4 linked regions of the Alligator mississippiensis genome follow. The protein of the gene in region 2 interacts with the protein of the main gene of each other region in a biochemical or structural test. Links are inferred from orthologs where the notes say so. Each region holds a gene or a part of one and is shown on either strand. Other genes may lie near its edges.

Region 1 (6,839 bases), on a different chromosome or scaffold from region 2:
TCATGTTTGCACACCTAATATTGCCAGAGGCACCCTTTAAAAGGGTCTCAAGGCACTACACTGTGCCACCGCATCCTGGTTGAGAATCATGGCGGCGTGTGGGTGTGTATCACATATATATGCAGGGGTGGATGGGGAGGGAAAGATGGGTTGCGCTGGTGCACTTGCACCCCGCTTTGATTCCTGCTGCACCCAAACTTTAAAACCACCTGCCTGTCTGACAATGGCAGCAGCATTTCTAGTCAGGCAGTCCTAACAGTCACTTGACTTCCTGGCTCATTGTAATGTACCTGATCCCTTCTAAACTCTTCATTCCACAGGTGTTAAGAACCCTCCCTTCTTTTTTAATGGCCCTGATGTTCCACCAATCAAGCTAGCCTTTGTTCTGCCATTGTGCTGTCTGTTTGCTGCTCTTGGTCATGAAGTTTCTACTCTACAGAGCTGCAGATAGTATTTAATTCATTCCAATTAAGTTCTGTTGGTTTTTGTTTCAAGCTTAAACAGCATCATACAGCCTTAGGCCCCTGGTGGATCAATAAAGCTTCTAGTTTCTGTTTAACTGGAGAAAAATGTGTCTCGTTTTATGCGTGATGATGCACTCACTGGGGGCACCCCCCTTTTCAAAATTCTAAAGCAGTGGTTTTCAGCCTTTTTTTTTCCATTTGTGAACTCTTAACAAATTTTGAATGGAGATGCAGACCCCTCTGAATGATAAGTGTGAACATGTACATCCTTTTGGTTGATTACAGACATCTTTTGTGGACTCCCTAAACATAGTCTGCCACCCCCCCCCCCACAGGGCTCCATGGACCACAGGTTGAAAACTACTGCTCTAGACCCACCTCTGTGTGTGTGTGTGTGTGTGTGTGTGTGTGTGTGTGTGTGTGTGTGTGTGCGCATATACATGTGCATGCATGCACAGATACATACATGTGTGTATACATGCATGTCTAGACATGTGAACATGTGTATATTTGTAAAGGGGGTCACAATTTTGCCCTTTATTACTACAAGTAAGAGGAACCTAGAGTCCACTAAAATTTAATCAGGCTACAACTACACCAAATATAAAGATAAAACAAGAGAAACAGATAATGGAACTGTGCATGTAGATGTGCATACATACATGTGTGTATACAGACGTGTACTGATCTTAGCTGGGGCTGGTCCCGCCTGGAGCAGCGGGTAGGTCTAGATCAGAGTTTCTCAACCCATGGGTTGTGACCTAAAAGTGGGTTGCAAGAATATATGAACGGTTCCCGAACAAACTTTAAAAACGGATTTTCCTTTAAAGGAGAAAAACATGGGAAACTGGGGCTTTTCCCTTGCAGGCTGACAGAGTTCCAGCCTGCAAAGGGCTGCTTGTGCCCCCTATGCCCCATGCACGGGGACTGGGGGCGGGGGAACGGCAGGTTGGGAATGAAGGGCACTGGGTTGGGATTGGCTATGGATGTTTACAACTGGATCTTGGTACAAAAGAGGTAGAGCACCAGTGGACTAGTCACCCTCCTGAGGGTCCTTCCCACCTTCCTTTTCTACGCTAGTAGCTACATCTGCACGCAGGTGCTACTGCTGCTCCATCAATAGCTGAACACAAGAGATCACTCTTTAAAACACCCACGTCCTAGCACTATACAGGCAGTCCTCTGCTTAAGAAGTTTCGAGTTGCAATGAATGGCACTTAGGACGTTTATAAATTGACACCCTGTTTTGACTTTCTGATGTTAGTTTCGACTTTACGACGCTTCATCCGATGCCACACCACACCAGCGAGCGTTTGCTGCATTGCTTATCTCCCTGGAGAACATCTGTCCAAACTTCCTTGAGCACTTTCTTTAAGAAAGCAGACAAGACTCCAGAAAAACCTGCAGTCAAGACTTGTGAGAAGACTCCAGCCAAAAACCCTTCAAAAAGTCTGGCAAAGTCACCTCAAAGAAGTCCTTCCAAATCAATATGATTGCTATGTACCATATAAATACATTAATGTAGCTATATTACTCATCTATAATTGATAGAGTACAAAATTCTGCGTTACTTTTGGTGAAAATAGGGTATCAGGCCTTGGTTCAGGAACCAATCCCCCCATGAACGCTGCATGCCCCGGAGGCTGGGGGTGCCTGGCGACTGCCTGCTGGCAGTGGCAACAATGTCAGTGGCAGGAAGGAGCACCTGCAGATGCCACTGGCAGCCTTGGCAGCAGCCAGCAGCAATCGGGAACCGCCTGCAGATGCCCCGGTGGTGTTGGCAGCAAGGGGGGAGGGTGGTGAGCAGCGACAGCCTGCAAGTGCCGCTGGCAGCATCCGCGGCACTTTTTGCAGAGGGTGCACTGCCATGCTCAGGGGGTGCACATGCACCTGCGTGCCCCACCCTTACACGTCACCAACGTATAACATTGTTCCTACGGGAAAATCGGTCCCGACTTACGACGTTTCCATTTAAGACGCAGCTTTCGGGAACCAACCGTGCCCTAATTCCGAGGACCTTCTGCAGTAAGTGCCTGGGCGTCGTGACCATCCTGGTCACTCCGATGGAAACCAGGATGGAAACACGACAGGGCATCTGTCACAACAACTGCCCTGAACAAGGAACAACAGCGACACCGACAAGAGCCACGACAAGTCCTGGCAGCGACCCCGCCCCCGGCCCCCGAGCGCCGCTGCCCCGGCCAGGTGCGGGCGGAGCGCGGGGAACCCGGAAGGCCGCGTCCTTCGCCCGCCGCGGGGCCGGCACCTGCCTCCTGGGGGGCTGGCGCGGGGCCGGGGCCGGGGCCGGGGCCGCGCTGGCACACACGCACGCACACACGCTTGCACACGCCGTGGCGGGGGGGCCGCCTCGACGGCGGGACAGACTGACAGACAGACAGACCGCACCGTACCGCGGCCGCCGGGGCTCGCTCGGGGCTCCTGCAGCATCCAGCGGCGCGGTCCCGCCACGCCCGGGCTACGCGCAGGGGGCTCCCGGCGCCGCCGCTGCCCAGGTAGCAGCGGCAGCAGCAGCAGCAGCGCCCGGGCCGCGGCTTCCTGCTCCCGCGGCTGCAGCGCGTCCGCCCGCGGCCGTGGGCGGGTGTCACGGGAGGGTGGGGCCGCCGCCCGCTCCCAACCAGGAAGCGGCAGCCGCGCGCGGGCGGCGGGATTGGGGGCACAGCTGGAGCCCCCCCGGCTCCGGCAGAGTTGGGGTTGCTATAGCTGAGGGATTGCAGCCCCTCCCCTCCCCACAGGGGACTTCCCACCTCTCCCGCAAACAGGTGAGCCCCCCCTCACTGCTTTGCAGTCTGCAAATGCCTTGCCAGGCGGGCACCGAGTTGTTTTGTTCCCCCGGCACCTGCTTCTTGCCCCCGCGTGGGAACAGACCTGACAGGAGGGTCCCATTACACTTCCAGCCTTTGTGCGGGCGGAGAAGAATTTGGAAATCTGAATTGGGAATGGTTAAATGCCAACCCCCCCCCTTACTTCCTTTTCACATGCTCTAGGTTGGCAGTCCTGTCTGTCCGCCTCGCATGTGTTTCTGCTGTATGCAGCAAATGAGGTTCTTTCTGAATTGCAGCTGTGAAAAAAAAGCAAGGTGACACTCCTTTGGCTGTGGTTTTTTTGGGGGGGGGTTGTTTTTTGGGGGTTTTTTTTCCCCTGCTTTGGGTGTCTTTTTTCCTCTTGGTTTTATCCTTATCAGATGGAGGCTTAGGGCAGCTGACCAGCCCACCAGGTCCATCGTTTTTAGTGGCGCACATGCACAGATCACTATCAATCTTGTTTAACAGAACAAGTACTAATGCTTCTGTGAAAATACATCTTATCACTGTGGTCCTGCTGAAGAACTAGGTCAACTCATTCTCCTTTACCAATTACATGACTTCTATGATATACACATGCGCGCGCACGCACACACACACAGGTGCACATGTTTAGGGAGGGGAGAAGGAGTTTTATAAAGCTTTCTGAATTGGACTGAACCCCGTCCTCTCAGTGATGAGATATGTGCTTGCGCATTTTCACCGAAGCCAAGACTACTCATTGTGAGTGAATAATAGGAGTAAAGGGAGTCACAATTTTGCCTTTTATTACTACAAGTAAAAGGAACCTAGAGTATGCTAAAAATTAATCAGACTACAACCAAATATGAAGATAAAACAGAGAACCAGACAATAGAGCTGTGAGGAAGTAGGGGAGGAATTAAAAAATGGGAAGTGTCATAAGCATTAATAGTTTAAAATCCTGGGCATTTTATATTTAGATCACGCATGGTGCATCCACACACGTGCTTTACTGAAGAGTTGACTACTTAGTTCCACACTAAAGCACCACAGTCTACATGTGTGCCAGTATTGGCACAGTAAACTAATTAACTCTGCTGTAGGATAATACTATCCCTGACAGTACTATACAGTGGCAGTGTACTTTACTGTGCTGAAATGCATGTAAACAGTGACAGCGGGTATAAATTGCCCCTTGTCAGGGTCAGCCCAGCCAGCCAGGGGCCTGCTTTGCCCCAGCTCAAATTGCTGCTGTCCTGGGAGCATGTGTAGACACTGCGCCCAGGAGCAGTTCACTCTGGCTTGAAGTGCTCCAGAGTTTTATTGGTCACATTAATTGCATGTGTAGATGCACCCAAAGAATACTACTTTGACTAAAGGGAAAAAAAACCCAACACTAGACTCCTGTTCCAATATTATGAGTGTATAAAAAAATGTTGATAAGGGGTTTGGCAGGCCACAATCTTGCAAAAACTTATGTATGCGTTTACCTTTTTATGGTAGGGTGATATTGTAGCCATGTGTCCAGGACAAATATGAGAAGTAAAGTTTTTTGTGGGTGATATCTTTATTGGACAAACTAGGGATATAGTTGGGAGGGATATAAACAGGTTTTGGGTACCAAGTGCCCTTCCTCAGGGTGCTGAGGAAAAAGCAGACACAGAAAAAGCAGATACAATCGGTCCAATAAAAGATATCACCCACAACAATCCTTTCCTCTTTACTACTTTATACTTTGTAAAACAAACAAACTTTGTTTATCAACTTTAAAAAGTAACAGTGCATTGAATGTTCATTTTGGATGCTCATCTCCACTCTCCATAGGTTTCTAGATTCTTTAACAAACAAACAAAAAAGTTGTGTAAGTGGGCTTAAGCAAAACTGGATCCAAATATCAGCAACCTGCTGCCTCAGAAATCACAATATTCAAAAACAACCCACAGGAAATAAAATCTGGTCCCAATTCTGCAAATATTCATGCTTCTGTGCAATTTTGTGCTTGAGTAAACTCACTGAACTCGGTGAGGTCATTTGTAGGATAAGTTGTAGAAGAACATGCATATTTGCTGTATCAGGGCCTCAGAAGGAAAAACATGTAAAGTGAGTTCCACATGCCTAGGAATGAGAAGTCAGAATGATGCTATAAACCAGCTTTCAGGTAAGAGAGATTTATTTTGCTGAAGGTGATTATCATCACTCTGAGTTGTAAAACCATGCCATATTCAGTAACAACACTCTTATGTACCTCTCTTGCACTTTATAGCCTAGATACCTTTCTCCTTCTTTCAGTGTTTTTCATTTTTTTATGACTGATTTAAAAAAAATGTTTAGGACCTCATTCTTGAATGACTAAATAGGTAGTTCCCTTAGCATCCCAGATTTAGTCCCCTGAGGAAAGCATCTCAGCTGAGTGTTTGCAGGACTGAGTCCACATATTGTAATAAGGCCTCTTACAGTCTTATCACACAATAATATATAATAACCATTATATTATCAGAATCATATTTAACTTATTATAATACATAATTATTTTAACTAACAATATTGCCAATCCTCCAAGGTCTCCATCTAAAAAGAATGCACCCGTGTTCAGCAGCCATCTCTGTTCTGTGTCTGGTCGGTCTGCAAAGCAAGATTCATTTCCTCATTTATTTCCTCTCGTTGTATGTAAAATAGTATCAAAAATAGCATTAAGCCTTTCAAATACTATTTGTTCCCTAAGCTTAGTATCCTTAATTAACTGTATAGTAAAGACACTCCAACCCAGTACAAAGTGTTCCATTGTGCAAATCCAAGAAAGGAGAGATTGGAATGGAAAGAGAGTGGCATTTGCAAATAAAGTACTAAAATGTACTAAAATTGAAAGTGTAATAACAATACTAAGAAAGAGTTGACCTGGTTCTTCAGCAGGACCATAGTGATAAGATTTATTTGGCAAATAATAACTCAGATATGTGTCTCATCATGACTAATTACATATCATAAAAACTCAAAGAATGATTTAATTAAAATTCACAGAGATGCTACTGATTATAGACCAAAGAATAGTCTCTCATCTTAAAGTAATTGAGGGGCCAGGAGGAGGGAAAGACTTGATGACTATCACTCAGTGAATGTCTGTCAATGCAAAATCAAGGACATAAAGCTGCACTTACAAAGAAAACCACATAGGCCAAATTTGATTTCGTGTAAGCTTTGCCCTGTGATAATTTTACTGACTTACAATGGCAATGCTTCTGATTCACATGGTTATGTATAAAGATATTGACCATTGTTCAGTTGTAGTGCTACAAAATGGCTTGGCACTTTGTAGCACTGCAAAAATGCACAGGTGTTCCAAGCCACTGGCTGGAGAGCTATGAAGGCCAGCTCTCCAGCAAGGGGTTGATAAACCCCTGTTTTGCTCTCCCTGCCCCCTGGGTAGCCCAACTGTTAACAGCCTGTCCACTTCTGTGCTTAGAAAGGTGGTGAGCAGTGCATGATCAGCATTTCCAGACACCCCCTCCCCGCACCCCCTCCCTTACAGGGATGGTAGGGGCAGTAAAGAACTGCTGTCTTCACCTCTGCCACCCCAATAGTACAACTACCAGAG
Region 2 (6,946 bases):
AGACTACATTCTCAGAAAGGGTTGAACTGGATCAGCAAATACACCTAGATATAGTACATCTGTTTCTAAACACACACCATTCTGAATCAGTTTTGAAACAAAACCAAGCAGCAGCAAGTAAAAAAGAACAAACCAGAAACTTCTCTCTCACTAGTTTTTAGAGACCAGGGACAGCATTTCACTTCCCTTGGTGCATCTAAATAATAGTTTTCCAGTCACACAGGTAACAGTTTTGCCACTTATACACATTTTTCAATTTTATTTTCCCTGCAGTATAGATACACAAGCAGAATGAACATGCACAGTAGGCTACATGCTTCCTGGGTACACATGCCTACACGAGAATAAATCCCAGAAAAAGCAAGGAAGAGGAGGGTGGCCCTTTTGTGTTTCAGCTCAAGGGTTTGAATCTGCATCTCTCCGACTTCCCAGCACAGTGCCTGGACTGTTAAGGGCACATAATACTGAGTGTCTTCTCTAGAATACCTCTGAAGCTAGCCCTCTGGGCAGCCAACGGGGATGTGTGTGGGGCCAGGAGGAAGAAAGCAAACTTGTGTGCATTTCAGCTTTCAGATTACTGACACAAGGAAGGAAGCACCTTGCTCCCAATGGGGCAGAAACCTCCCCACAACATAAAACTGCTCTCCATCCATTTTACTTCATGACTATTAAAAGCAAGGGGCAGTGGCTCAGCTTTTAAAGGAACATTAAAGAGCCTAGTGGCATAGTGGTTACAGCAGTATAACTGGGCAGTAAGAAAGGTGGAGGATCAAACCTTCTCTGGGCAAATGGGGTCTAGAACACGAGTCTCAAGAAGCTGGAGTAAATGCCCCTACCACTCAGCTATGAGGGCTAAAACATAAGAAAGCCCCTTGTGATATAATTCATAAGTCCTGGAAAAAGCACATCTGGCCAGTATAACCTACTGCAACTCTCAGTCTAGAACTACAAACACTCACTGTAAAAGAAAACACAATTATGAACTGCATGTGAAAAACATTATTTATGTAGCTGGAAAACTGCCATTTAGATGCCTAAATGGAAGTAGAACTCCACCATAAACAATAAAGTAGCAACTGATTTAAGTTTATTTTAACACCCAAGAAAGTCTACAAACTTTGTACCTGGAATGATTTGTTAGTACCTGTAGTATCATAGATTTCTACAACTCTATAATCAAGTAAGACTACAGTGCATTCTGTTAGTGCAAACTGAAACCACATGCGATGTAGTGCTGAAAAACTGTTCAACTTACCCATTATAATGTGTTTTTACTCTGATGAAGTCTCTGTTCAGATTCATTTTTGATCCCATTCTGCTAGGCATGATACTGATAGCAGTCTAAATAAAAATATTTTGCCAGTGTATGGAAGAATCTTTCAAATCATTCAAAAAAGACAACTGATCTTGTGCTGAATTCTAATGAGCAGGTATAATTTCCAGCTGATACCCTGTCCATCTGCACACAGAAAAGAAAAGCAGCATATAAATGCACATACACACACAAAGAATTGTTGAAATACAACATAAATTTACATGTGCAGAGCCAAATCCTGGAAACCCCAGTCACTTTAAACCAGTGGCTCCCAACCTCAGGGCAAGACGTAAACCAGGGTCATAGAGGGTCCACGCCTTGCTCTGCCCCTCCTGCCTGCAGGGCTCTCTCGGTACATGGTCCATACGGCTCTCACCACCGCTACCCCCCCACAATCTTGGCCCGGCCTGGGCTCTACTGGCGCCGTCGGGCACAAGTGAGTTGGCGGTGAGAGCAGGGGTCATGACCTGGGTTTAAGGTCGCAGTAAAAAAAAATTGGGAGCCGCTGCTTTAAACAATACACCTGAGAAAGCAGTTGGACTGTTTACATCCATAGGGCCCTTTGTCCCGCAGAGGAATGACTATGAAATAAGTTACTGGTAGTAAAACTTAATCAGGCTAGTTACATTTTATTTTACACGATTATTCTGGTTTCCAGAAGATCAGGCCTCAAAAGATTCCTGTTTCCACCAATTAAAACATTCATCCAGCAACTGCATGGACAAAACAAAGCCGTGTCTGACAAGGGCGTTTTGGGGGTTTTTTTTTTAACCATTTCCTAATTAAACTTTCAGCCCTTTAATCACAAATAAAACACACTGCAAAGACAATCTTTTCTTAAAAGACTAATGGCAAGGATCAGATCCCCTTATTTACAAGTCTCTTTCCTAGGTTTTCTCTTCTTAGTCACACAACATTTCACTTTTCCACGTCCAAAGCAGCTTGCACACATGAAAAACACTGCTGTATCGGAAACCAAGGCTAGTTCCACCTGCAGCGAGGGAGGGAGGTAAATCGGAGGCACGCTGGGGCAGCTCGGGGATGGACACGTAGATGGACACTTCCCAGAACGACAGACACGGAGCGTGGGAGGGACCCCGGGAGGTCACAGCTCGTCCACCCCCCCAAACACTCACACCCCCAGCAGGACCAGCCCCACCCAGATTGGGGAAGACCCCGTTACCCCAGTTGGCTCCTACCCCTGGGAGCGGTGGCAGTTACAGGGGTGTATTTGGAGTCTCACAGGGGGCTGCTGTTTCCCACCGGAGTCTGGGCCACGTGGTTTATTCTGGCCCCTAGCCCTTCTGCCCACGGAAGGTTTCGGGGCAGCGCGGGGGTGTTTGTTTTTCGGGGGGGGGGGGAGGGGGGGTCCCTGTATCCAGGAAGGGGCTGCAGTTGTTCTCGCCCCTGCCCGCCTACCTGCTGCGGCGGCGGCTCCCGGCCCTTCCCGGGCAAGCCCGCCCCGCACCCCGCCCCGCCCCGCCCCGCCCCGCGTTGGAAGTTGCCCGAAGTCCCGTGAGGAAGTTGGGGGCGACCCCCGCAACCCCGGCCCGGCCGGCTGAGACAGCGGCGGCCGAGCCCCGCTGCCCCGCGCAGCCCCGCGCCGCCCCGCTCCCACCTCGGCTTGGCTCGGCTCGGCTCAGCGCCCCCCGCTCCGCGACTGCGGCGGCACCGGCGCCACTACTCCAAACATGGCGGACCCAGCAGGTTAGCGCCCACAACAGCCAATAGAGCGCCTCCCACGCTACCTGCCGGCCAATAGCAAGCGCCGGCCCACCTGGAGCCAATCCCAAGAGGGATCCCGCCCGCGTCTGACCAATCAAAAGCCCGCATCCGTTACCTGGCCGGCAGGGGCCATGCAACCAATGAAAAAAAAGGAGGAGGCAAGCGAACACCTGCAGCCAATAGGAAAAGGGGATGGGGGAACGTAGCTAATCTACTTAGTAACCGGGGCTGGATGGCCTCAGGGCCGTGGGCCTGCTGGGCCCTGGGGCTCCTGCTCGCAGCTCTAGGAGGGTTTTGGGGGCAAGGATCTCAAAAAGAGGGCAGCCTTGGTGTCTGGGGACTCCTGGCTTCTGCTTTCAGCTCTGCATGGCTTTGCTGCAGGCACATCACTTCGGTTCCCTGTCTGGAGCGCATGCTTGGAGTTGGGAGCGAAGTGAAGTCCAGTTTCTGAAGCACTTCAGTGTGTCCCGTGATAGAAAACAGGGTGTTATTTGTGTCATCACCTCTTGGGCCACAGATTATGGCCCACGGAATCGCTGTGGCAACAGGAGGCGTCTGTGGAAACCCACGCCTCCTCCCTGAGACTTGGTAAGCCTTGCACGTTCAGTGGCAGCTCCTTCTGCTGTGCAAGTGTGCGCTACGCTTTCACATATTTTTCTTTTATAATTTTAGGCCTTTTCTCTGCACTTTATATCTAATAAAAAGGGCAATTTGCTACTTTATATATCTTTATGTAATCAATTTCCAGGCACACTTGGAACAGCAGAGGTCACTGCATCCCTCAGTAAAAGTAACAGTTCCAAACCAATTAATAAGTTCATCAATGAAAAGAAGCCTCAACGTGCAATCAAAATAGAAGTTCCTCAGCGAGCCATTTTCCAGTCCAGTTCAGAAAGCACGTCTTCACTAGCATCTCCGCTAGTTTCGTGACCTCTTCAAGAAAATCCATATCTTTCTGTCCTTATTCATCTGAGCACAGGGGGCGGACAAACCAATAGACTGGATCCTGATCCATTTCAGCAACTGTTTTTGTTTCATTTAGACATCCTGTCTTTTGAAAAGGAGACACAAGTCAAACACCAAACAAATCTTTTAAATATATTTTCAAAGGAGGAAAACAATTGATCAACACACACAAAATGTGGGGACAGAGGAAGTGACTAAGAAAAACAAATAAGCAAGCAACATCACCAATGATTTAAAAAACACAAACCCAATACAAACCTCAAACAAGCAAAGGATGGTATATATGTACTGGTGATGCTGCTGGACTATCTAAATGTTTGTTATGGCCTGCATCTAAGATGCATCAAAGGAAACAAGCTGATCTCCCCTAGAGGTATTGAGGGGTTATAACTGCTAATTGAGATGGATAAAAGAGGTTTTTATTCTACTGCTCTTTCTCGTAGAGAACTTAAAGTAGAAATGAAGAAATGTAAAGCTTTATTTCCAGCTATGGCCCTTTACTTCCAGCTGTGCACCCAAGTAGTGGTGAGAGAAGCAAAAGAAGGTATAAACCACTGAGGCCTTGATTTGACAATCTTTATTCCTACTAAGCAAGAATTAGTACCCCTCCAATGGAGTCACCAGTAAGGTTTCAAAACTGTCCCTTAAAACTGTTTCAGTTTCCCTCTCTGGGCTAATGATACTTAGAGTAAGTTCTGCAGTGGCATGTGGAGGTACTCCAGCTAGTTCAGATAATGGGAACAGTCGCATCAAGGCCCACAAAAGCTAGTTTTACTTGCAGGGAGTAGTAGGCTGCTATGGCTGTCCTGCATTTGCTAGCTGAGCTAGCTCATTTAGATATCACTACACTGCGCCATGTCCAGTTATATATAGATTTACCTTCACACCACCTGATTTGGAAGTAATTAATTTAGCCTGTTAAGGTTTGGAAGATCTTTAGATGTAAAACTTTTCGAAGTAGCTAGCGTTACAATTTTTCTGGTCTGGGATGGGGTGAGGGGGGAGGGCAAAGGGAAGGGAATGTGATATCACCAGCCCCAAGGATGACTGTGATGCCCGCAGTGGGCAAACTACTCCTGCCCCAGTCCAGCCCCTCAGAGTACCCTTCCTTTTTCTGCTATACCTTGATGGATATTATGGCACTTAGGAAGGCTGTCCCATGGTTTTAGAGTGACCCTCAGTTCATTTCAGCTTGCTGTTTAACGAGAACCCTAGTACTACTTGCGCCCAACTGGTAGTTGTCTTGCACCTCAGACACTAAATGGTGGCACTCCTAGCTGTATCCTTGCCTTAGGGAACAATGTGCTTTAGGGGCAATAATCCTGGCCCTGTCTCAACCTCTGTTCCCAGCATGAAATGATGCTGCTCTTTCTCTCTCATCCACCCTTGGGTCCCTGCTCCTTACAGGGACTTATGCCCTGGGCCTGACTCAGAACTCCTATGACCTTCAGACCACTCCCATAGTCACAGTCCAAATCTCTGGTCGAAACATAAGCATCTGCTTCAAACCAAAACTTGCACCCAATTTTGGGTCATTACCCCACAGCAAGTCATGCTCCCCCTTACTGTCTCCCGGCTGCCTAGAGTTCTGCCCCTTTTTCTGCCTAGCTCCAGGATACGCACTCCCAGTTGCAGCTTTTATCCCTGTTGCCTCTGAGTTGCTTGCTTTCTAGCAGCCGGCCTTTGCTCAGCTGCCACAGTAGGCCTGGTTTGCTGCCCTTTCCCCTTAAAAGTAACAGGAGCCTCCAGCTCCCTGTTACAGGGAGAAATGTCTCCCCCATCACATCTTGTACATAAAAAACTACCATGCATATTTACAAGACTTTAAAAAGCAAACTATTGATATTATAAATGTATCACTTTACGGGTTTCTTTCATTGATTAATATAGCTTTTATAATTTTAACAAAAATGTCTCAATTGTTACTGCTTTGGAATGTTTCATTAAGTGCTCACTATTTTTAAAATGTATTCATTTCTTATTAGATGCTCCCCATGCCTTTGGAAAAGGGTAGGCAGATGGCTCTTTTTGGATATGATGTCCGTTTTGCTCTATGGATTAATTAACAAGGTTGTAATAGGTTTGCAAGCGCTACATATTGTAAGATCATTGTACCTGGCATATTATTTTTGAAAAACAGCCAACTCTGGTTGGCCTAAAGCCTGAAATCCTGAATATGTCCCCAAACCTGATTTTTTTCAGATTGTAAAACATTACGTTTTTCATATGCCATTAAACTACCTTCAGCCTAATAAATTGGTAGTTGTTATATGAGGGCCCACTACAATTAAAGTTAAAGATCTGCAGATATTCCTATTACTAACACTATTTCTGAGAGGCTTCTAACTCAGTAATTCCAATTTGTGCTAGGTTGAAATAAAGGATTCAAGCCCTGATCCCACATTTAGAAAGAAAAAGGTGGGTAGGGTGGGTGGAACCACTGGAAAAATGTATCTTTTATTGATACCTGATGTCCTCTTTTCATATTTAAGAGCACACCAGAAATTGAACTGGTCCTTTTGTGAGAAAAGAAAAAATTGGAAAAATATATTCTTTGGAAATACTTGAGTTGTGTTTGAAAAGTAGCTTTGATCAGATCCAGCACAAATATGAGAGTGCTGTTTAATGCAGCATCAGCAAATCTGTGGAATCTAGATCTTTCTTTCCCTTTCCTATGTGATGAATTGTGATTGAGCATGCAAAGGAGTAAGTTCAGTGACAAAACCACAGGTTGGTAACAACACTTGATGCCCATCTTGCTGGGGTCTGATCCCAGCAGGCTTTCCTGCTCACGTGCAGGCGGGGCTGGACCTGATGATCTGTAAGATCTCTTCCAGCCCCTAACAACTGTGAAACAGAGTCAAAGAATATCTTTAAGTGTGGTAGCAATTGGCACTGTAGCCATGAGGGTTAGCTGCAATACTCCTTGACCGAGTAGGA
Region 3 (6,873 bases), on a different chromosome or scaffold from region 2:
TTATTTTTGCAGTTGAACATAAAAATTACTTTCCTTTACTCTTATTAGATAAGCTGCACTACAACAAAATGGAAGAGAAAAGCTCCAAGGAAGGCAAGGTTGTTTAAGAAGATGGGTATTCAAAGAAGAAAAAATGCTTAAAAAGGTGGGCTGCAGAAGAGAAAGGGGTTACCTGCTAATTGAGAACTAAAGCACTTCATAAAACATGAACAGCAGAGCATCCCCATTTTACAAGGGGAAAAGCACAGTACACTTCCCACCTATATGCTAGATGCATTGCTGACTATTTCCTTTTTAGATTAGAACTACACTAAATTACACTCTTTTGAGAAATGTTAGTCACATGCTTTACTACAGAAAGACTAATGCTGACTACTCTTGCCCTGCAGCATCCCAATGCTATCTTTATGTGATAACTTGCTGCAGCAGTAATCCAATGAGCTACAAACAGCCACACCATATTTTATGAGAACACTGAAACTAGTTCAGCACCATATTAGATGGGAGGGCAGGAGTGGGGAGAGGAACCTCACAGTACAGGTTTCCCTTGCTTTATGCTGTACATGTGTTCCTGGAAAACGGCACATAACTCAAATTCACGTAAAGGGAACCCACTTTACAATGCAATAAATAGGGATATGTTCCAAAACCTCAACTGTACTGACCATTTCTACCACTTTTACAAGACAATTTTGGTACTCGCCAACAGCAGGCAGTACACACAAGTACATGGCACTACCATAATGGGGATGACAACTACAGAAATAAGTGTTGCAGACAATGAGCAAAGAGCACAGATCCACACAGTAGACTACATTTTGGTGCATGTCACTCCCACAACGCGCTGCGCAAAGCAGCATAAGAGTGAACAGACCTCACATATAACAAATTTTTGGTATAAAAAGGGTCATCCCATAAGAGAAAATTTGCACATACAGAACCCATATAAAGCAAGGAAACCTGTATGCTGGTTTGTTGCCCACTACCATACACAAAGATAAAAGTCTCTACAACTGATACTGTAATCACTTTGCATTTCAAAAGAATGAGATTTGATGTGCCCAGTGAAACAAGTACAACTGCAAATATTCTTTGGTTCTAAAAAGTTCTTCATCCTTCTGAAAATATCCATTCTATAGCATCTCACTTGAACTGTACTGCCAGCAAGTGCATGCTGTGGTCTGAAACAGGCTTCTGCTCACATACATACATTAGTTGTGATTTTGGTTAAGTTCTCCAGTGTAAATTAGGACACAGCAAAACTGTTCATTAGAGGATCTCTCTGTTTCCAGCAAAGGAATACAAACATTCCTGCAAAAATGTGCTTAAGCAAGACGCTTTGCTTCTTTACATCCCTTGCAACAGAGACAAGCAGATCCAGTGACAGACCCTGACACCCACTGACATATGGATCTGTACAGAGCTTAAGATGTTCTCATCACTCACTAGCAACTTACGCCTCTTCCAAAACACCAAAAGGGCATGCATATAACATCTTTGATAACATTCAGTTTTGTTCTCATTCAAACAGGACATCTGTATCTGGGAACTGGTGGCCTGAAACACCAAGCTGATTCATACACATTAGGGCTGATGAAAGAGGGGTTTTTATTTTTAGACAAAACAAAACAAAAAAAGGTGCATCTCCAATTACATTAAATGAAAATATAGAAGTGGAAAAAGGTTATGAGCAACTATATCTATAGACATGCTTAAAATAGCACTTTTCATTTTAATCACCCAAGAGCTGTTACACCAATGGACTCTTATCTACACAGGTTTTCTGAAACTGTCACGTTATTAGTACAACCTATGACAGAAGCTGCTGATACCTTTACTATCTACACCGCCACGTCACGGAGCCTTCAAATATATCTATGCCCTGATCACAGTTAACATCAGGAAAGATGGAAGCGGTAAAAATAGGCAGGGCGCAGATTGTTACAAACTAAACAGCACGCTGGTAAAAATGCCTATACCAAGCCTGCATTGCAGCTTCCACAAATGAAAGAAAACAAGTTCCCGAGTGCAGGCACACTCGCATTTGCTGAGAGGGGGGGGGAAAAAAGTGCTTTTTAGATCAAGTTACCCAATTGTATTTGGCTAATATGGCTTGACACACCCTTTCATAACACAGATAAACACCTTTACAATGCTGAGTTCCAACACCGTCAGCGAGCAAGATATTAGGCGGGACTGAATCTTGGTCGATGCCTGAAAAATGCTGTTCAAATATATCTGTTGCTTAGGGGCACGGGAAAGCAACAAAATCAACCCGTTCCTCAGACCAACATCGCTATCGATGCCAGGAAAAGAGAAGAAAAAAGAAATCGAGCATGCGAACGCAGCCCTGCACCGTGACTTATTCAGCTGCGGCTCTACCTGCAGGGGGAGGTCTGCCGGCACGGCAACCGCTCCCCTCGTCCATGTCGCCCCCAGCGTAAGGGGTATTTTTTATCATTGTCTCTCTCCTCCCCCACTTTTTTCCTTGGGACCTGGTCAGGGTTCCTGCCTCAGGCAAGGGCTCGGACTAGAGGTCCCCTCCCGCCCCCAGACTCCCTTATTCCCCGACAGAGGAGAGGAAAGCAGGGCAGGGCAGGGCAGGGCAGGGCAGGGCGCGCTCCCCCCCCCGGCCGCCGCCGCCGCCGCCGCCCCCCGACCTGCGGCCGCTAATCTCCGCTCATCTCCCACGTCAGAGCCGCAGCTCGGGGCGACACGGAGCGGAGCCCTCGCGCGGACAACCGCCGCCGGGCCGGGCCGCGAGTGACCCCGGGCCCGGCAGGTGAGTCAGCAGCGGGACCCACCTTGCTCTTCACCTCCATGGTGCCGAGGCCGCGGCTGCCCCCGACGCCGCGCTGGGCCCGGTTCATGCCGCAGGCGGTCGGAGCCTCCTCCTGGGAGGGGAGGGGGGACGCGGTCAGCCCGTCCTCCGGCCCGGCCGCCCCTCTGCGCGGGGAGGAGCCACCCGCGGGCCTGGCACCTGCCGCGCCGAGGGGGGAGGGGCGGAGCGCTCCGCGCATGCGCAACGGGCCGGCGGTTCGGCGCACCTGCGGCGGCCGCGCATGCGCACCCGCTGCCCGGCGGAGGAGGGGGCGGGAAACGCGGCTCGGCGCACCTGCACCTGCTGGGCCACGTTCCAACATGGCCGGCGCATGCGCGGTGGGTGCTGCGGGGGCGGGAATATGGTGTGGGGTTGTGTGGGCCCAATGCACTCAAGTCTCTAGGCTGAAAGGGGCGCAGGGCAGGCAGGGTATGTCTCATGTGCGTCTGACAAGGGACTATGGCCAAGGGATTAGGAGCCAGGACAGGCTTCCCCACAGCCAAGTCAGGCAGGGTGGGGAGCCAGTTCTTGTCACGCCTCTACATTAGGGTGGCCATCATAGAGGACGTTCCGTTTTTCTGCTACTCTGTTGATACGAAACCCGATGCCTTTATGCCCTCTATTTTTCATCATAGAGGACGTAAAGGAGTCCGGTTTTGTATCGACAGGACAACCGGACTGTCCTCTATGATGGCTGCCCCACCCTACATGCACCAGGCAGGGTTCTTTGAGTAGATGTGATGTTCATAGATTGGAAGGGGCTGGAAGGGACCTTACAGATCATTGGGTCCAGCCCCCTCCCCTACTCTAGGCAGGAAGACAAATGTGGTGAAGTGACCCCAGCGTGGTGACGGTCTAATAAAAGATATTAGACCAACTTAGCAGTTGGCAAGAACACCTACATGCACCTGCCTCCCACAGGCCAACCCGCTGCTCCCAGGCACCTGCGGGAGCAGAGGGGGAGACAGCCCGCCCCACCTGCCAGGCATCTCATGGACCGGCAAACTGCAAATGCCTGTGCACAGGGCTGCACCTGTTCAGTTCAAATCAAATGACATTTGAGCATTGATCTGAGCAGTAGCCATGTCAATCTGAGCACAAAAGGCAGGTGAAGTCTTTGGGTAGAGGCGATATCTTTTATTAGACCAACTAAATAGTTGCAAAAATGTTATTTGCAAGCTTTTTGGCAACTGCTTAGTTGGTCTAATAGAAGATATCACCTCTACCCAAAGACTTTGCCTGCCATCTCAGCACTGAGACCCCAGTCGGGACAGTGCTTCTGCTGGCAGGCTTTTAAAATTCATTCTAGTTGTAGAGGTGTTACTGTTTCTCACTAAATTTCTCATTTTTAGTACATGGACTGTCACTGGATTTGGCAATATTTATCACCCTGAGTGAACTTTCAAAGCATACTCGTGTATTGGTTGAACTCAGATATACACGGCTAGTCTACTCTTAAAATTTGTGTTTGCCACTAGAATCATCTAGCAAATCCCCCTAGTGGAGACACTTTATAGAATAGAGCTTTTTCAAAAATTAATTAACTAAGCTATACAAAAGGATTTTTTTCCTTTAGAAAAGGAGGGGAAAAAAGGTCACATCTATAATTAGTATAGTTCCGCAGGTGAAACTTTTAAATCGTACACCAGATTTTAAATTTAAACATCTATTTTGCATGGCATCATATCAACTTCCAAATCTGTGTGCCACGGTCTGGTGTGATTGCTTAATGTGTGGACTCCGTCTGCCCTGTCTGGGCTTTTGTAAAGATTGCAGCTTTCAAATAAGTGCTGTGTCATTTGTCGGACACCACATTCACGCAGGGGGCATCCAGAATGCTTATCTTGTAAAGTGTTGTTTTGAACCATCTGTATCCAGATCAGGCTGTTCACCTTGCCCCACAATTCTCTGTCAAGGTCGTGCCCAATAGGGGACGTACTTGGTGTTGGTATAAACTGCTGTAGGAATAGGTGTGATCTTTCGCAGTGGTCATCCCATTCCGTTACTGCCTATAGGTTAGGTTCAGCATCCCCAATCTCTTCAGGGAGCTTATGGGCTTCATGTGTAAACAGTTAATGATTTAAACATAAACTAAGCTAAATCCAATAGAAGAGTATCCACACACAGAATTACACCATTTTAACAAAATAACTTTAAAATCACATTTTAAGGTAAACTGGTGCCATGTAGTGTGTAAAGCAGGCCAAAGGCCAACTGTGAGGCAGAGAAATTGTACCTCTCACCCAAACAAGACAAGACCTGATTAGTGCAGAGGGTATAGTTCAGTGTTAAAATGTTTTGTTATAGATCAATAGATGCTTAGTTCAAGTCTACACATCCCTGCTTCTATTTGATAAAGAAAATAGTGAAGTGACATATTTGATCTTATCCATACCTAACACTGGATTCTCCTGTAACACGGACATACTTGGAAATCAGTGGAATTATAGCCATGTCAGCAAAGATGAACTAATTAATTTGTCATTTCACAGTCGCCAAAACTGAGAGAAAGAAGTGGCTTCTCTCTGTCTCTATCCAGTTCTGCTCTTGTTTATAAGTGACCAGCTTTGCTGTCCTGGGCACTTGGAAGATGCAGAGGCCAGTGGAGGAGACAAAAGAGGCGCACAGCTTTTTCAAGGGTTAGCATTGCAATTGACTTACCTTTATTCTGAGGTGGAAACCCCTCCAGGAAGTTCTGTGCACTTAAAACTGTAAAGAAGCTGATGTTATCATTACAGATTTATTAGGTTTCCTCTAAGAATGCGTCTCACATTCCTAGAGTTGTTGAAGTGCCATACAACTGGGTGTGGCCTCGTGCTTGCAAGAGTCAGAGCAAATTCATCTCGAGTCACTGGAACCAACCTAATAAAAAGTATTAATCACTAGCTATCTTGCATTACAGTGAGCTGATATTGCGTAAGAAAGGAATGTGATGAACAATTTGGTTTCAGATAAAGGTAAGGGGAGGGGAAGCTGCCTGTGCCAGGCATAGTGCAGAACTGCAGGGCTATTTTAGTTCCAAGTTCGATAAACATGTGATTAAGAGTTAAGCTATTCACTGCCCCTCAAAGAAAATAATGTTCTGTGTCCATCAGCCTGTTCAGAACTCAAAGGGGAGCTGGGTATTTTTGTTTAAGGTTTCTTAATTATTTTGTGGTAATTGACAGCCTCCCACCCTCATTGCATCATTAAGAGCAGAACCCCCACACAGCTTGTATTCCCTATGACAAGTCTTTTTTCCATCTGATTCATTCCTGTTTTTTTTAATGGAGTGGTATTCCATCTATCTTGCCCAGTACCCGAAAGGTTTCCTCAGGGGATAAAATTCAGACTGAAGGAGAAAGCAGAAGGTTTGCATTAATATTTAATTCATTCTTATTTTTAAATTTGGCTCAAACTCCCAGGACTACCGTACGAAAAATAAGCAAAAGGATCTGTAACTCCATAGTTGTTTGGACGCTTCCAAGAGAAGGGGGAAACCTGGGTTCTGGTCCCTGCTGTTAACAATGTCTTCTATCTAGTAGTGCTTTAATGCAAAATACATAAGTAGGCCCTGGAACAAGGATGAGAACCCAGGTGTCCCACCCCACCTTTCTTCCCTCATTCAAAACAGTGCCTTTGTCACTGAGCTAGGGAGTCATGCTAGCTTTTACTCATTCTCTCTGGCTCTGTGAATCTTGCAGTTCTTATAGCTTCATCAGGAGTCATGTGAGTTTCCCTTTCCCAGATGATTTTATAAACCATTAGTATAGAGCACTCTTCTAGGAGGAAGATATATAGGGTTCTGACCCCCCCTCAAGCTGAGGAGGGCCTAGAACCAATGTCTTCCATTTCCAGAGTAAGCGCTCTAGCTACTTGGCTGTTATATAAGTGGTGGGTGCTAGCACCACCACTTGATTTTGAATGGAAGTGGCTGTAGATGGTAAATCTATGCATGGATTAGGTAAATCTTGGATTGACCATGTAGATATTAATGGAAGTTCTGTCCACTTTTGGTAAGTGAAGAAAAATATCAGTGATAGTTTAATGGAAAAGAGAAAGATGGTTGTAGG
Region 4 (7,381 bases), on a different chromosome or scaffold from region 2:
TAGGAGTGTACTATTGCATACTTGAAAAGTCCCGCCCTCCCCTTTGACTCCCTCCCATCCCCCAATTAGTTTAAAACCCAAGCATTTTTCAATTATCATTCAACAAGCCACAGTATGTTCTGTAAGCCACAAGACTAGTTTAACTCTCAGGCTACCTTTACTATAGTTTACCACTAAAGAACTATTAACTGCAAGAGGGAATCAGCAGTACTGCCACTGCCTCCTCCTGCAGAGGATTTTCTGCATGGCTGAGTCATAACTAACATTACATCATCTAAACCAGGGAGGGGCACAATTTCCATAGTGTGAATTACCTCTTACAAGCAGCACAGTATATTAAGATGCCAGAAACGAACTAAGTTGTGGACAACACGGTTCTTGGAGAAACCACGCCCAAAGCTTTTATGAACACAGTCATTATCTGTGAATGAACCCATATTTGCTTATTCACAAATATACATCCTACAATAAAGCAACCTATGAATTTTCAGAGTTTATTTATATTTAAGATTTGACAATGTTAGTAGATGTCCATGAGAACTAATTACCAAATTCATTAAGGGGAAGAGGAAAAAGTCACCCACTTGTCTTAGTTTGTTTTTTTTAACTGGTATAGAAAAAGATTAAAGACTTGATATCACAGGCCTCAATTTTCAGTTTAGATTAAATGTCAGTTTAATGGGGTTAATATCATTTACCCTGCAATATTAAATCAACAGTTTAACAGTTTTGTTAGTTCTCACCAGCACATCATTGCAGATGTCCCTTAGCTCAGTCTCAATTTTCTCTCTGTATTCTCGGGCCATCTGCTGCTTTTTCTCAGCACCTTCCGTTTTTTGTTCAATACTTGAGACTACTCTCCAAGATGACCTACGGGCTCCTACAACATTTTTGTAAGCAACAGAGAGAAGATTCCTCTCCTCATTGGACAACTCAGCTCCTTGCTCAGTCACAGACTTCATGCAGCTTGCCATGTCATCATATCTCTCAGCCTGCTCAGCCAGTTTGGCCTTCTGCACCAGCTCATTTTTATCCATGCTGATTTTTCTGAGAAGGAAAAATAGGAAGGCATTATTCAAACATTTATCAAGGACAAAGACATTTTTAGCCTCATATCTAAAGCAAGATTTCTCTAGAGTAGTTAAGTTGTAATATTCCCGATTGTCAGCTTTTAGGATTTCTCAATGTTTTTTGTCATGACTTGAAGACTTTGATTTGCTTGTTTCTAAAAATTCAGACTATTAATTGATGTTTCTAGTCTTTATTGTTGCAGAGATAACTTTCCGAATGCTGAAGGCACACCTTTTCTGTGCTGTACATAATTCTGATCGTTTCCTCTCCCTCAATCAGTCCTAGTTCTCTTCATGATGTGGCTTGGGAGAAAGCTGAAGTTTGTCCATTTCATCATGCCAATGATTAAAGACCTGGGGAAAGCAATTTTGTGCTGCTCAGAGGGCCAAACAAAAAGGCCGGAGGAAAAGCCTTCACTCTCATGTTATAAAGCTCTAAAGGTTGTTTTTTTTTTTTAAAGGTTGTTAACTACTTTGAATGTAGGGGTTTCATTCGCACTAAGGATCCTGCCCTTTTAGGAATGTTAACTCTTTCCCTAGAGGATCAGTGGGATGAGCTTCTCATCCAAGTTGTGCTCCTCAGCCTCAGTAGTGAAGGCTTGGTGGACAAAGTTAGTATTACCTCTATCTGTACAGCCCCACTAAAATCCAGCCTAACACATCAGAAACATCTTTTGCTGGCTAAAATGACAACCTAGGGATAAAATATTTCTTAGGGTGACTGTCTTTTCTTGCACCAGTGAGGCAGCTGGGATAACGCTGGACAAGCTTTTAAAAGCAAGTCATCCTTCCTCAGGTCTCCTTAGGGATCTGCACCCCAGGGGGGCTTTTCAGCACTTGGGAGCCAACCTGACTCTTTTTCATGTCAGGAAAGATCAGAGGTTGACCCCTTCCCCCCACCCTATTTCATCAACCCCTAGTGACTAGTGCCTTCATTTATTTTTAAAGCCTAAAAATATACTGGGAGGTTCCTCGAGACCTTCGTATCCACCTGAGCAACACACTCCCTTCAGTCCTGCCCTCGGGCTCGTGTATTACCGATTCTCACGAGCCTCTTTCCCGACTGCGGGGCTGGGCGGAGGCGGGTGCGCGGAGCCCGCGGCGCCGCGGCCTTGCCCGCGCAGGGAGAAGGGTGGGAAGAAGCCATTTTGGGGCCGGGTTTCACGCGGGGCGGGTGGGAGCAAGGGAGGCAGCGGATGCCGCCGCTGCGCCCGGAGCCGTGCGGCAGCGCAGGGCAGGGCAGGGCAGGGCAGGGCCCGTGGCGCTCGGCTCTGACGGGGGAGGGGGCTGCCACCGCCCCGCCACGGCCCCGCCCGCCGGCATAAAATGGTGCTGGCCGCGCTCTCCGCAGCGGCGCGGGGGCGAGCCTGCAGCCGAGCCGGGCCTGGCCCTTCCCTTCCCGCATCCGCCCGGTTGCGAGAGGCGAAGCGCCGCGCCCGGCTCCTTTGTCATGGCGGCGCCGCGCCGCGCCCAGCTCAGCCTGCCGGCGCCTCCATCCCCCTCACCTCCGCCCCGCCCGGCCCACGGGAAGCCGCTCCCCGGCCCGGCCCCACCGCTGCAGGGCGGGGCCGCCCGGCCACAGCCCCCCCTTCGCCAGGCAAGGGCGCGGCGCTGCCTCGCCTCACCTGCCCCCACCCGGCCCCGGCCCCCACCCGCCGGGTCCCCGCAGCGCAGCGCAGCGAACCCCCACCCGCCACGCCGCGGAGCAGCTCCCGCCTCAGCAACTGGACCCGACCCGGGGAGCCGCCCGCTGGAGGGTGGGGGGCGCTGCTCCCCGCCTGGGCCGCCCCAGGGGAAGCGGTGGGGGGGGGGGGCGCAGGCCCGTTACCTGCGGCAGGAGGCCGGGGGCGGGCGGGCGCGGTGCGGGCGGGCGGCGGCGCGGACTGTGCCTGTATCGCGGCTCGCTCGCTGCAGCCTCGCTCCCAGCGCCACACACGGGGGCTCCGCCAATCACCGCGCCGCAACGCACTGCTCGTGACGTCAAGCGGGGCCATGGCAACAGCGAGGGAGCGCGTGCGCACGCGCGCCTGTACCCGCCCCGCCCCGCTCCCCTCCGACGCCCCCACGGGGGGGGTGGGGAGCGGCCACACCAACTGCCGCCGGCACCGGCGCGCGCAGCCGCGAGCGACCTCCGTCCCGGCCCGCCCACTCCCTCCCTCTGCGGGCTGCGAGGGTGCGCGCTGCGTTGCGCTGCGGGGGGCGGCTCGGCCGGGCTGCGGCAGGGCGGGGTCGCCCCCCCCCCCACCCCGTGCGGGGCCTGCCCAGGATCCGCGTTGCGCCCCCCTCCCCGAGGGCCCCGCAGCCTGGCCACCGACACGGGGTTGGGGCCGTGCTCACTGGGATGGGAGCGGCCCCCCAGGGGGCGGTGCGGTTGCGGCCCGCAGCCCCCACTTGCAGCCAGTTCGGGAGCCCGGCTTTTCCGCGGGGCTGGGTGAGTGCTGTTCCCGGGCAGGATGCGTGGCAGTAGCCAGCCCCGATGCAGCCCGCGGACGTGCCCCGCTGTGGTGCCATCTCCAGCCTGTCTGGGACGGTGCCACATGCGGTGCCCGGGCAGGGCTGGTGTGACACGAGCTGCCTACGGCGCCCACTGGTATCATCGAAAATGAGGGTGAACCGTAGTTTAACCCCCTGTTCACATCAGGGCTTTCCCAACTAGATCATTTCAGCCAATGCGGTGTCTACCTGGGTCTTAAAAACCTCCTGGGATGGAGATCTCACCAGCTGTCTGGGTAACCTGCTTCAGTGCTTTACTGCCCTCCTAGTAAGGACATTTTCCCTAATATCTAACCTAAACTTCCCTTGCTGCAGCTTGACTCTGGTGCTCCTTGTTCTGTCATCTGCCATCACTGAGGACAGCCTAGCCTGGGTAGGCAAATATTTGGGCCCATGGGCCATATAGCTCCCTAAAACTCTGTTGTGGGCTGGGTCACCCCCCCCCCCCACACACACACACAATTGCTCCCCAAACCTCCCTATGTGGAATGGGGCTGCAGGTGGGCAGGGAGCTGGTATAGGTGCCAGGGCTGCCCTGCGCCTTCACCCCACTGAGTGCAGGAGCCTGGCGTGGCCCAGAGGTGGCGCTGGTGGCTGCAGCAGTGATGGGGAGGAGCTGCAGGGCAGTGGGTCCCACTGGCACGAGCTCCAGGTCTTACATTTTATGGTTGCCGCCACTGCTGTTCATTGGGGCCAGAGTGGGCAGGTCCAGGGAGAGCGCTGCAGGGACCCCGAACCCCACACACGGCACGCCGTGGCCAGGGTGGCACACTCAGCCCAGGGCTCAGGCTCAGCCTGTACTAGTGTCCATGGAGCCAGAAGCAATGGCAGCAAGAAGGAGCCACCACTGACTGTCGCCTCTGTGTCTAGACCCCCACCACCTAGAGGGACCATGTTTTTAAAATGCAAAGGCAGGGCACATTCCCACCTTCCCCTCCACCTCCTCGCTGGTGGCAGAGCCAGAGCAGAGCAAAATGGAGCAGGGGGGCAGATACAGGTTGTGTGCTGTGGGCTCCGGGCAGCCCTGCTGCCCTCTCAGGAGCCCCATGCCAGCCATACCCCCCCTGCTTGTCCAGCAGCAGCAAGGGATCCAACTCCACACCTCTGCCATCCCCACTGCTGCCTGGGGGGAGTGTTGCCATGGCGGTGGGGTCTCCCTGTGGGGAGGACAGCAGGACAGGCAGCCACAAGCTTACAGCAGGCAGCCTGTATCCACCCCTGCCCTGCACACACATCTGGGAGGCACGTGCCTCCCATGCTCTCCCCCCCCCAGAACAGCATGTAGCAGTGGGGAGCTGCCCCCCTCCCATGCCCTGTGCCCCCTGGATGAGCTGCCCGTGGCTGTGTCCTACTCTATGCACTGCCCTAGCTGGGCAGTGCCCCCAGCCCCATCCCACTCGCTTCCTCACCACGGAGGCCTCGATCTACACCCCATCCCTCCATACCTTCTCTCCTCCCCATAAACCCTCCCTGACTTACCTGCAGGGAGCTGCTTTCCATGCTTCCCAGCTGTATTTCCCAGCCATGTGTGTGGGCATACACATGCATGTGGCACCACCTGCATCCTGCTCCCAGCAGCCCCAAGCAGCCCCTCGCAGGCTGGAATGCTGCCAGCCTGCAGGGAAATACGCCATTTCCTGTGGATCCCTGCATGATGCTGTGAATCTGGGACAGCCTGGGACCAGGACTTGAGGTTCCCATTCTGGGACTGTCCTGCCCAATTAGGGGCAGGTGGTCACCCTACTACTGCCACCAGCACTGCCCTTCTGCCCAGTGGAGTGACTGGAGCTGATGCCTGGCTTCGGTGGTAGTGGCTGGGTGCAGATTTGGCAGCGGCAGCAGTGGCTCCTTCCAGCTGCTGTTGGCAGCCCTGGCCCCATGGAGGCCAGCACAGGCAGGGCCTGAGCCCCAGATCCAAGTGCACTGTCTTGGCCCTGGCCCCAGCCCCGGCCCCAGCCTGTGTGAGGGTTCAGGTTCCCTGCAGTACCTGCTCCAGACCAGACCTGCCCACCCTGGCCATGATGAGGAGCAGTGGCAGCAGCAGTGGTGAGAAAAGCAGGACCTGGAGCCCATGCTGGGGCTGCCACTGCTGCCACCGCTCGTTGTGGTTGCTTCCTCCGTCTTTCTTCTCTAGACTCAATAAGCCCAGTTCCCTCAGCCTCTCCTCATAAGCCATGTCCCCCAGCCCCCTCACCGTTTTTGTTGCCCTCTGCTCTTGAATTTGTCCACATCTTTTCTGTAGTAAGGGGCCCACAACTGGACACAGTACTCCAGATGTGGCCTCACCAGTGCCAAATAGAGTGGACTACAGGCAGTCCTCGGCTTACAACATTGCAAGTTACAATGTTTCACACTTACAACGTTTATAAATTGACACCATGTTTCAACTTTCTGATGTAAGTTTTGATTTTACAATGCTTGATCCGATGTGACGACACACCAGCGAACAAGTTCACTGTGTCATCTGTCTCCCTGGAGAACATCTGTCCAAACTGCCTTGGACAGTTTCTTTAAGAAAGCAGACAAGACTCCAGAAAAACCTGGAGCCAAGACTCCTGAGAAGACTCCAGCCAAGAGCACTTCAAAAAGTCCAACCGAGAGCCCTTCAAAAAGTCCAGGAAAGTCACCTCAAAGAAGTCCTTCCAAATCAATATGATTGCTATTTACAATATAAATGCATTCATGTAGCTATATGACTCATCTATAGTTGATCAAGTACACAATTCTGGGGTATTTTTGGTGAAAATAGGGTATCGAGCTTTGGTTCAGGAACCAATCCCCCATTTATAACATTGTTTCTTATGAGAAAATTGGTTCCAAGTTACAACGTTTCAATTTAAGCTGTGGCTTTCAGGAACCAATTGTGTCCTAAGTCGGAGAACTGCCTGTAATCACTTCCCTCCATCTGCTGGCAATACTCTTACTAACGCAGGCCAGTATGCTGTTAGCCTCCTTCGCACAATGTTGGCTCATATTCAGCTTATTGTCCACTGTAACCCCCAGGTCCTGTTCTGCAGAGCTGCTCCTTAGCCAGTTGGTCCCCAGTCTGTAGTCGTGCATTGACTTGTTCTGTCCTAAGTGCAGGAGTTTGCACCTGTTCTTATTGAACTCCTGCCAGTCTGGGGCTCATGCTGCTTGTGGTGCCTACACTGGAGTAGCCAGGGGGTGCTACGTACAGCGCAGGTCCCAGAATGGCTGGAGTGGGTGCTGTGTGCCGTGTGTGTCCCAGGCTGGCTGGGGTAGGCACTGTGCATGTCCTAGACTGGCCAGAGCAGGTGCCATGTATGTTGCATGGCCTGGACTGGCTAAGGCAGGCCCACATGCAGTGCAGGTGCCAGGCCAGGTAGAACTGGCACCCTGTGTGGTGCAGGGCTGATCTGGTGCATGCCATGTGAGCTTTGTGAATCAACTCCAGACCCAGGGGCAGTACTGGGGGTGGATGATGTGCCTCTGTATGCCATGTCTGTTCCATGGGCCACCTCCTTTACATGCATAGCTTATACTGTACATCTCTGAGTTAGTTTATGAGATGCAAATCTACCTTGCCTTCTGCCTGACTTCAGGCTACCTACCTCTCTCTCCTAATGGACAGAGCCAGCTCCATCCATCCCTGAAGGCCCAGCCCCACAGGCTGAGGATCAGTGTCAGGGCCTGACTTACTCTGGGGAACAAGTAACAAGGGTAAGGTTATAGGTTCAACGTGAGAGCAAGGAGTCAGACAAGATCCTCAGTCTTCTCACAAGTTAGATAGGTGAAGGCCATACAACTGCAGTGGAAGGTGAAGACAGTTTCTTGGCCAGCTTTTCAAAGTTTCCAAA

Evidence for each region.
Region 1: of the proteins of PRKCZ (region 2) and MBP, one has a biochemical effect on the other in vitro, tested with the Homo sapiens proteins (2 studies listed by BioGRID). The link is inferred for Alligator mississippiensis from reciprocal best matches to the Homo sapiens genes PRKCZ and MBP.
Region 3: the proteins of PRKCZ (region 2) and PARD6B form a complex in vitro, tested with the Homo sapiens proteins (2 studies listed by BioGRID). The link is inferred for Alligator mississippiensis from reciprocal best matches to the Homo sapiens genes PRKCZ and PARD6B.
Region 4: the proteins of PRKCZ (region 2) and YWHAZ form a complex in vitro, tested with the Homo sapiens proteins (2 studies listed by BioGRID, with this or other methods). The link is inferred for Alligator mississippiensis from reciprocal best matches to the Homo sapiens genes PRKCZ and YWHAZ.

The regions. Positions count from the first base shown.
Region 1 is NC_081826.1:110,529,070-110,535,908, forward strand, and holds the start of MBP (myelin basic protein), read right to left. Parts: upstream 3,014-6,839; 5' UTR 2,876-3,013; intron 1-2,875. UniProt on the Homo sapiens protein: The classic group of MBP isoforms (isoform 4-isoform 14) are with PLP the most abundant protein components of the myelin membrane in the CNS. They have a role in both its formation and stabilization.
Region 2 is NC_081836.1:13,357,605-13,364,550, reverse strand, and holds the start of PRKCZ (protein kinase C zeta type), read right to left. Parts: upstream 3,023-6,946; 5' UTR 2,934-3,022; intron 2,756-2,933; exon of another isoform or gene 2,735-2,755; intron 1,460-2,734; 5' UTR 1,327-1,459; coding exon 1,256-1,326; intron 1-1,255. UniProt on the Homo sapiens protein: Calcium- and diacylglycerol-independent serine/threonine-protein kinase that functions in phosphatidylinositol 3-kinase (PI3K) pathway and mitogen-activated protein (MAP) kinase cascade, and is involved in NF-kappa-B activation, mitogenic signaling, cell proliferation, cell polarity, inflammatory response and maintenance of long-term potentiation (LTP).
Region 3 is NC_081832.1:12,816,339-12,823,211, forward strand, and holds the start of PARD6B (partitioning defective 6 homolog beta), read right to left. Parts: upstream 3,001-6,873; 5' UTR 2,871-3,000; coding exon 2,805-2,870; intron 1-2,804. UniProt on the Homo sapiens protein: Adapter protein involved in asymmetrical cell division and cell polarization processes. Probably involved in formation of epithelial tight junctions.
Region 4 is NC_081826.1:38,282,980-38,290,360, reverse strand, and holds the start of YWHAZ (14-3-3 protein zeta/delta), read right to left. Parts: upstream 3,010-7,381; 5' UTR 2,899-3,009; intron 1,048-2,898; 5' UTR 1,038-1,047; coding exon 744-1,037; intron 1-743.